Drosophila melanogaster: one gene and its partner. Changing the gene in region 2 together with the main gene of any one other region gives a genetic interaction. Each region holds a gene or a part of one and is shown on either strand. Other genes may lie near its edges.

Region 1 (4,322 bases), 9.9 Mb from region 2:
TTGTTTTCCCCATTTCCTCAAACCACTCTTGGCAGTGTAAAGGGCTGAGCTTCGGTTTTCCGAAGCTGAAAGATACAAACTTTACCGATACCCATTTTATACAAGTCGCCCCACCATCCTCACACTCGGACTTAGCGTAGTGATTAAGAATAGCATTCCCGCGAAGGTAATTACATTTAATCAGTGTCATATTTCTAAGCATGCAGGAAACGTTACATGTTAGAGAGCAGCACTAGGTGCACCCATCCAGCTTAAGTAGATGCAGCTCGCACACCAACTGAGAATCACAAGCAGTGCGTTTCGGGACTGTAAGAGCAATGCAATGCAAAATAAAGAGATCGATTTTATTTGATTGTCGAACCCGTTTTAAAGTTCCCCAACATTTGGCCTTACTCGATGGAAATTAAACTCGCGTTGCGCCAGCGGTCTTACAGTTCTGAATCCCACTGTACCAGCGCTATTGCCGCACATAGTCGATAAGTCAACCTGCCAAGCTCCCTAAGGACCCTCCCCTTAGTTCCCAACTCCAGTAGCAGTTAAATTAGTGATAACGTTGCTAAAATATATTTGAGAGCATGTAAGATTAATACAAGTACGAGCATACTTATATTTAATGTTTTACAGAATTACATTACAAATATAGAATAATGTTTCAAGAATTTCTAGTACTTTGCGGATTTGTAATCGGGTTCATCGCCACCAGCACCGCCGCCTCCACCGTCCTTTGGCAGTTTTCGCTTTTGAATGATTGTCTAAATGGCAAAGAAAAATAAATATTTTGTATTGATCATCGACGAATCCTTTGGGATATACATACCTGAATCTTTTGCCACTCCCTATCGAGCTCGGCCTTCTCGTTCTTCTCCGTCTTGTTCTTGCGCGTCTTGCGACCGTCCTGCATCTTGACCCCGTACTGGAAGGCTGCCTTGGGCAGCGCCTCCTTCGTGCTCATGTAGTCGGAGTACTCCTCCTGCGTGTCAAAGTCCCAGCGTCCAATGGGCCCCTTTTTATTGCCCAAATCCATCTTGGTGTAATCCACCTCATCGTCCGAGTCGTCGATGGCGTCGTTCATCTCCTCCAGCCCGGGATAGCATTCTGCGTATCCCTCGGGTTCAGCGAACCGTGCGGCCATGGCCTTCGATATCTTGGGTGGCGGGGGAATACTGGATATTATCGGCTCCTCTGATGCCTCCGGCGGGCCGTCTCCAAAGTAGGACGGGGCGGACTTGCCTTGCTCCTGGCGGTTTCGCTCAGGTCGCGTGGCAGAAGGTTGGTAGTCCCCTATATCGTCGTAGATATTATCGCCCAAGGGAGCTGATTTCCCTCCCATGTTCGATGAGGACGAGGTGGCGTGCCGACTGGAGCCACCATTGCTAGACGACCCACGAAGATTTTCCACCTCCTTTTCGTAGAACAGCGGTTTGTCCTTGTCGCGCTTTTTGTTCTTCTTGTTGCGACCACCGGCACGTAGATAGCTCAGGATTTGGGACAGCTTGTTGATCACAATGTCATTGGTGGTCAGCGTGGCAACATCCTCTTGTGACACCGGCACCTCGAACTTGGAGCGCTTCAGTGTGGTTGGAATATCCGACTCCCCTAGCTCGTCATCCAGGTCGATCACATAGGCCATCCGTCCTGGAGCAAATAGCTCATTGCGGGGAACTTCTTTCGAACGCCTTGCCTGCACTAGATTGTAAATATTGCGCGCTAGTGCACCATTGATTGCATTAATATCCTCCGACTCGCGGCGTTCCGCTTCCAATTGCTCAGCGGCGGCAGCTGCTTCGGCGAGCTTTTCCCTTGCCACAGCGGCGGCAATCTCCTCCTCTTCCGCTTCCTTCGAGTGCAGCTCGGAGCGCACTTTTTGCAGAAGGGCGTAATCAAGACCCTTCACCAAATGCGTATGCTGGATGTCTCCACCCAAGAACTTGGACTCCTGAATGATACGTCTTCTTCGCTCCTGGGCATCGATTCCGGATTTCATATCTGGCGCTACAGCTCGATACGCATTGGTGCTGCTTCCGTGTCCCGGCGTGCTCACGTTCACGTAATCTGGATTGGCACCATCGCGTCGTTCTCGTGCTCGGTCCCTGTACTTCTCGGACAGCTCTTGCAGCTTCACATCCTCCTGCTTCTTGAGCGCCGCATAGAAGTTCTTTTTCTTGCGACGCAGATCATTCCGCTCGCTGCTGCTCTGACCCTTCTTCTTTTCGCCACTCAATCCTGTCGTGCCGGGGGCGGTGGAGGGCGTGGCAAAGGTAGCAGTGGCCAGAGATCCTCCAGCGGAGGTGCTGCTCGTCCCGGAGCCAGGAGGAGGAGCTCGGGGCGTCGCTAGCAGCTTGCGGAAGTCATCGTTGGTTAGTCGCACCGAAGGCGGTGCTTCCAAGTGGGCATCCGACATGGCGAAGAAAATTCGAAGAAAACTCGCAGAGAAAATCTATATTTACAAATTGTGCTTCTTCTTGGTTTTGCCTGCCAGGGTTGGCTGTGTTTTTGATTTTTCTCCGTACTGTAATCGATAACATGTTTACAGTGATGGAAGATTAGCGTTTTTAGCGTTTTTTCCGAATAATTACGAATATTTGAAAATCGATTCCACATTTAGCATCACTGTTTCTCATAATGTATTGTTATTATTGTTAAACTACAAATGGAGCAGTTTCTTAAAGGTCTGCCCAAAGTAGAGCTCCATGCTCACCTCAACGGTTCCTTGGGCATCAAAAGCCTATGTGATCTTGGCGAGCGATTGTATGGAACCTCTTGTAAAGATTTCCTGAAGTTGTGCGCGCACTTCAGCCGATTTGAAAAGGATATGGATGCATGCTTCGAGAAGTTTGCATTTGTGCACGAGTTGACCTCCACCCGGGAGGGTCTGCGATTTGCCACGGAGTTGGCGATTCGAGATTTCGCTGAGGACAACGTCCAGTATGTGGAAATGAGGACCACTCCTAAGGCAAACGAGAACTATTCACGCAGGGACTACCTGCAGATCGTGATCGATGCAATTAAGGCAGCTAGCGAAACGTATCCAGAGATAACAGTCAAGCTACTGCCCTCCATCAATCGAGCGGAACCAGTGGACGTGGCTGAGGAAACAGTTTCCCTGGCTGTGGAGTTGGCACGGGCTCATCCAAATCTTATCTTAGGCATCGATCTTAGCGGTAATCCAGGGAAGGGGCGGTTTTCCGACTTTGCTCCTATTCTTGCACAGGCCCGGGATAAGGGTCTGAAGTTAGCTATACACTGCGCCGAGATCGAGAATCCATCGGAGGTAAAGGAAATGCTGCACTTTGGAATGTCCCGCTGTGGACATGGAACTTTTCTTACTCCCGAGGACATTGGGCAGCTTAAACAACGAAATATTGCCATTGAATGCTGCCTCACTAGTAATGTTAAGTCGGGAACAGTGCCCAGCTTGGAGGAGCACCACTTGAAAAGAATCATGGAGGCAGATGCACCCAAGGTTATCTGCACGGACGACAGTGGCGTTTTTGATACCACTTTGACAAAGGAGTTTCTGATTGCTGCGGAAACTTTCGGTCTAACCCGTGAACAATGCATCGATTTGACCTTGGAGGCAGTGCATCATTCATTCGCCAGCGAACAGGAGCAAATACAGATGGCGGATAGGGTGGGGAACTACGCAGACATATTGGTCAAATAAAAAAACTGTCACTGCCCTAATTGAAATAAATAAGTTTTTGTATGTAACACCATATATGTACCAACCTGATTCTTATTTGTCAAAAATTTTACCTTTTAATATCATTCTTTTTATTCAATATGTAGAAGTATTTAGTTACAAGTTTGTTCATTAGTTATGTTCATCCTTCGTACGTACATATGTGGCTAATAAGTTTTTATGTTTTTCTCATTTAATATCATTCATAATTGAATTCAAGTTTTCTGTTCATTACTTTATGTTCTCGTTTCTGCCGTTCTGTGTGGCTTAGTTTGGGGGTAGGCATTCAAAATACAATGGAGTACAAGCTTTGGTCAATAGTGGGCTCTTAAACTGCACCAAGTGAAGTGGACGATCGAAATCTAAGGAAACCAAAGTAAGACTTAAATGATCGAAATCTGTAGTTTAATAGCACATTTTGAAACAAACTTTTTGGGTGAAGACATCTTTATAGTCGGACCCTCCACCTACCCAAGCCTGCAGATTAGCTTTCAGTTGAAGTGGTTTGCCTGCCTGGTATTCCCTATATACAGTTTATCTATATTTTATACTTTTAGTTTGGTTTTAGCTTACTGCTGTGTTTCTACATGAGTTTTACTACTTTATCCAGTTCATTCCAAATGTCGAGCTTCAAGAAACG
Region 2 (5,097 bases):
ACGATTTGATTACATTTTTTGGTGGGATAATTGTTTATTTTTTAATTGTTGTAACTCCTACTAATTTCTTTCTTGACTTCCCTTAGAATTAAATAGAAATATTTTAATTTGTTATAATTTATTATTGGGGTGAAGTGAATAAACAATAAACGTTAAATTGTCGCATATAATAAACGAAATGCATGCATAATTACTTTTGACACCGAGCTAGTTTTGAGAATTTATGCGAAACTTCTCCAGCATTTTGTTGATAGCCTCCTCATCGCCATCGATCTTAGCCTTCTCCTGCTGCAACACCTCCTGGAAAGTCTTCTGCTTAGTGCCCACCAAGTAGAAGTCCTCATCGGAAATGGTGACCTGTGCATCGACACTGGTGGCACTCCCCTCGTAGATGTCCAACGCTTTGAAATCAAAGACTACGATGAGACGGTCAACGGTGGGCTGACCCACAACCAGGCATCCTCTTTCCCACTCACCCATGCTCTTGATGAGATTACCATCCGCATCGGTGAAGTTGAACTGAAACGTGTTGACGACGGTGCGCCGGGCAGGATCCGATTCCTTCAACTTGTTGCGTATCTTCTCGATGATCTCGTCGCTCTTCATGTTGCAAGTGAACCGGCTGAGTGTCGCTGCTCGACTAATTTAGGTGCTGGATTGAGGCAATTGAGGGAAACTCTGTGGATTAGCGCTCTGAGAGATTGGCGCTTTGCATAATGCTTAATTAAAGTCAATTTGTTTCATATAGGCAAGATTGAAGATATTGATGTGAGGAATGGCTGAGGGCATGAGAAAAAAACTGCAAGCGCTTTGGGGTCAGTAGGTATATTTCGGCAGCTCAAATAAGACCACCAACTAAAACTAACTAGGTGTGAAAGTCAATTGCTTATATGGTCTAAGGCTTCCAAAGCTTCAGCAGGCCGTCCTCACTGTAGCTGGCCAGTAGATTTTGATGCGGATGATGTGTCAGGCCAATGACGTCCTTTTCATGAACCTATGGAATAAATATCACGTTTAAAGTCAGTTTGAAAACAAATAGTTTAAAGAGCAGCTTACGTTCAAAGTACGTTCAAGTTTACCGGAGGAGACGGAGAAACAGTAAAGCACCTGATCCTCTCCAGCGCAGTATATGAACTCTCCTCGCGGCGAAAGAGTGGCTGAGATAAAGGCACCGCCCTCGCGCTTACCCGACGAGAAGGATCGCACAATCTGGCCCTGCATGTTCATAATGACAACCGTATTGGATCTGTTGCAGACAATGAAGTGTTCGGGATTCTTGGGCAGAATGAGGACTGTGTTTACGGCCAACTCGTTGCCAAGGGGCTTGTACGTGGCCACGCACTCGGTCGTTTTAAGGGACCAAACCTTTACTGTGCCGTCGGAAGATGCGCTGAGCACGCTGTGTCCGTCAGGCGTAAAGGTGGCTTCGTTCACAAAGGAGGAATGCCCCTTGAACTCCTTCAGCATCTTTCCCGACTTCAGCCCGTGCAGTCTCACCGTGTAGTCGAAGGATGCGCTGAGTACCTGGCTGTTATCTCGCGAGAACTGCAGACAGGTTATTCCCTTGGTGTGGGCTTTCTCGAATTTACGCAAACACTGACCGGTGATGATGCGCCACACCTTGATTTGGCCATCCTGTGCGCCCGATGCCACCATCTCGGAATCTCGTGAGAAGTTCAACGCCAGCACCGCCTGTTCCATCATCATGAACTGGTCCTGCGCCTGGTACTTCAGATCCTTTCTCACCTTGCCGGTGGTAAAGTTCCACACCTCAAGGAAACCGTCCACACTGCCCGTTATCAGATACTGACCATCCGGCGAGAACTGAGCGCACTCAACGTGCGACTTTTGGCCAAATTTGATTTGTCGGAACAGCTGGGTGGGATACATTTCTTCTTCCTGGTCCTTCATCGCCGCCTTGCCGCGGAACAAATCAATGGTGGTGCCGGGCGGAAGGAGTCCCTGGTGCTGTTGCCATTTAAGAGCCTGTCCCAGGAGTGCCAAGAGCCTGGAGGAGGGCACCACATGCACCTCGCCACTTAGCTCTTGGGCAATGACCGTGCGCCGCTTTTCCTTGCTACTTCCCTCTGCATAGGCTTCCCTGGGATCGAAGTAAGCGCGCTGCAGCATGTTTTCTACAGACAAATATACCAATTAGGAATCACGAACTCTAGTGAAACCTTAGAATGGCTTATATTTTACCCAAATGGATGTATCGTTCGGGCTCCTGCTGCTTCAACATGGTCATGGGATCCGTCTGGCGGAGCAGAGATCTTGCTGCGCCCAGTTCTCTGAGCTCGATCAGCTCCAAGACTATTTGCTCGTATAGATTGAGCAGCTTCTTATCCGGTAATTTGAGAGACTGGGTCACTTTTAGCACGGTGTCCCAGTGCCCGTTGGAGATATCCTGCACAAAGCCATCCACGCTGTCCACCGTATTCAGGGAGACACCCGTTTCCTCCTGAAAGTTTAAGATCATTGAAAGACAAACTCTCTCCGCGGTGTGTAAGTACTAACCTGTAACGTTTGCAGGGTCTTCATAAGGTTGGACTCCTTCAGATACTGCTGGATGAGCCGAATCACACTTTGTTTGGGGGGGAAATCACGGATCTAGTAAAAACTGAGTGGTGTTGGTCGATTTACAGTACTTACTCCGCTGATTCGATTTCTATGGACATCGTAAACTAATTTCCCGGTTTAAGATTCCTTTTAAAAATAAGTTTTAATACAGGTTTATAAAAATGTACAATAATATTGATAAAAAATGCGTCGTCGTAGGGATGGCGAAAAACAGATACTATGCACAGAACAGCTGACCGTTATCGTTATCGCCGACAGCTGATTCTCAGTATAGGCAAAAAGAAAATTCATTTCACAACGTTAAATAAAATAAATAAGAGGCCATAAAAGTTGTGAGCAATAAATGTTTAATTTTATTGCTATCAGTGGTATTTGTATTTAATAAATTTGTAAAAACAGCAATGTCCAGCAAGCACATGTGGCAGAAAAACATTATATCATTAATAGGTAATTCAACCAGCATTGGCTTAAACTTTAAGTTTTTGTAAAGATGTATGTAAAAACATTACCGGCAATAGAATAGACACACACACACACACACACACAGTTACCGATCAGCCGGTTGACAAAAACAAGCATAACGATAGGTAACACCGATTAAAAAAAAAAGAAACAAATGGCGATGTTCCCGCTCTTTTTGTTTTTCGGCGGTAAACGATCTGACCAGGCGGGTTGAATCAGTCACCATATTCCCGCCGCCGTGTACAGTACTCCATCGAATCCGGAACAATCAACTTCAACCGCGATCCGTTGCTGCTGTGCTGTACCTAAAACAGTTAGTAAAACTCCCAATCTCACGTGCAGATCGCCGATTATCCGGACTGATGGCGGAGGCAGCATCCTGTGCCCGAAAGGGGACCAAGTACGCCGAGGGCACCCAGCCCTTCACCGTCCTCATCGAGGGCAACATCGGCAGCGGGAAGACCACGTATTTGAACCACTTCGAGAAGTACAAGAACGACATTTGCCTGCTGACCGAGCCCGTCGAGAAGTGGCGCAACGTCAACGGGGTAAATCTGCTGGAGCTGATGTACAAAGATCCCAAGAAGTGGGCCATGCCCTTTCAGAGTTATGTCACGCTGACCATGCTGCAGTCGCACACCGCCCCAACCAACAAGAAGCTAAAAATAATGGAGCGCTCCATTTTTAGCGCTCGGTGAGTGCATTATTCCCGTCGTCCGGTTTGACCAGAAACGCTAAACGAAACTTATCCATTACCCATCGCGCCGCAGCTATTGCTTCGTGGAGAACATGCGACGAAACGGCTCGCTGGAGCAGGGCATGTACAATACGCTGGAGGAGTGGTACAAGTTCATCGAAGAGTCCATTCACGTGCAGGCGGACCTCATCATATATCTGCGCACCTCGCCGGAGGTGGCGTACGAACGCATCCGGCAGCGGGCTCGTTCTGAGGAGAGCTGCGTGCCGCTTAAGTACCTTCAGGAGCTGCATGAGTTGCACGAGGACTGGTTGATACACCAGAGACGACCGCAGTCGTGCAAGGTAGTTTCTACACAAGCTCACATCTACCGAAGCCGCTAAATATGCATTTTTCCTCAGGTCCTAGTCCTCGATGCCGATCTGAACCTGGAAAACATTGGCACCGAGTACCAGCGCTCGGAGAGCAGCATATTCGACGCCATCTCAAGTAACCAACAGCCCTCGCCGGTTCTGGTGTCGCCCAGCAAGCGCCAGAGGGTCGCCAGATAACCATTATCCCATTAGTACCTAATTGTGTGTAGTACAGACGTTTAAAATAATATTATAAGAGGCCTAGACGAGCCGATTCGCGGGACAAAGGCAGAAACTTACACTTCGAGCCAATGATTAACACATTCGTATATTAACAATTATAATCCACATTATATTCTCTTCACAGCAACTAGTATGTAAGCTCAAAATATTGTAATAAAAACTGTGAATGTTTATGTTAAAGGCAAGGCACCTACTATTTTTGTGTTAGCATTTCAGTTCACTTGCATTTTAACTATATTGTGTTGGACAATGAAATCATTAAATGCCTTCTCTAGCATTGATTTTTGTTATCTTTTTCTGAAGCGGGGTTTTTTAAAGTCATAATAATGTGTGCACCGTAAAAGCGGCGTGATCTTATGCCTGCTGAACTCTAATGTGACTGCATGCGCTTCTCATTACTGACCTAAATATATATACTTTATTTCTCTATTGACTTCCACCCACAAAGACAACCATTTGTTGAGTCAACTTGCTTTATATAAATGTATATAATTAATTGTTTTCGCTATCGGGCTTACTTAAATGCTACAGCTTAATTAGGACATCGCAAGGAGAGCACTCCATCTGTGCTGTGAACGTTGATGCCGTTCCTGAGGGCGTTCACTTGGGTCCGTTCATGATTCCTGGACGGACGCCGGGTATAGTGCCCAGTGGAGGCGGTGGTCCCATCATGGCCATGGGATTCATAATCGGTGGCGGACGCATGCCCATCATGGGGTTCATCAGTGGAGGCATATAGGGCATTCCAGGCATTCCCGGACG

Evidence for each region.
Region 1: of Smu1 (region 2) and beag, changing one suppresses a phenotype caused by changing the other (phenotypic suppression), as found in Drosophila melanogaster (one study listed by BioGRID).

Annotation. Positions count from the first base shown.
Region 1 is NT_033777.3:9,062,589-9,066,910, forward strand, and holds beag (beag), read right to left. Parts: upstream 2,491-4,322; 5' UTR 2,402-2,490; coding exon 818-2,401; intron 753-817; coding exon 663-752; 3' UTR 544-662; downstream 1-543. Other genes in the region: Ada (adenosine deaminase), read left to right, coding at 2,651-3,664.
Region 2 is NT_033777.3:18,978,168-18,983,264, forward strand, and holds Smu1 (Smu1 spliceosomal factor), read right to left. Parts: upstream 3,158-5,097; 5' UTR 3,090-3,157; intron 3,028-3,089; exon of another isoform or gene 2,940-3,027; 5' UTR 2,679-2,939; coding exon 2,653-2,678; intron 2,585-2,652; coding exon 2,518-2,584; intron 2,462-2,517; coding exon 2,203-2,461; intron 2,136-2,202; coding exon 1,057-2,135; intron 995-1,056; coding exon 896-994; 3' UTR 813-895; downstream 1-812. Other genes in the region: euc (eucalyptus), read right to left, coding at 208-416, 477-606; dnk (deoxyribonucleoside kinase), read left to right, coding at 3,405-3,736, 3,813-4,083, 4,141-4,290; snRNP-U1-C (small ribonucleoprotein particle U1 subunit C), read right to left, coding at 4,936-5,097.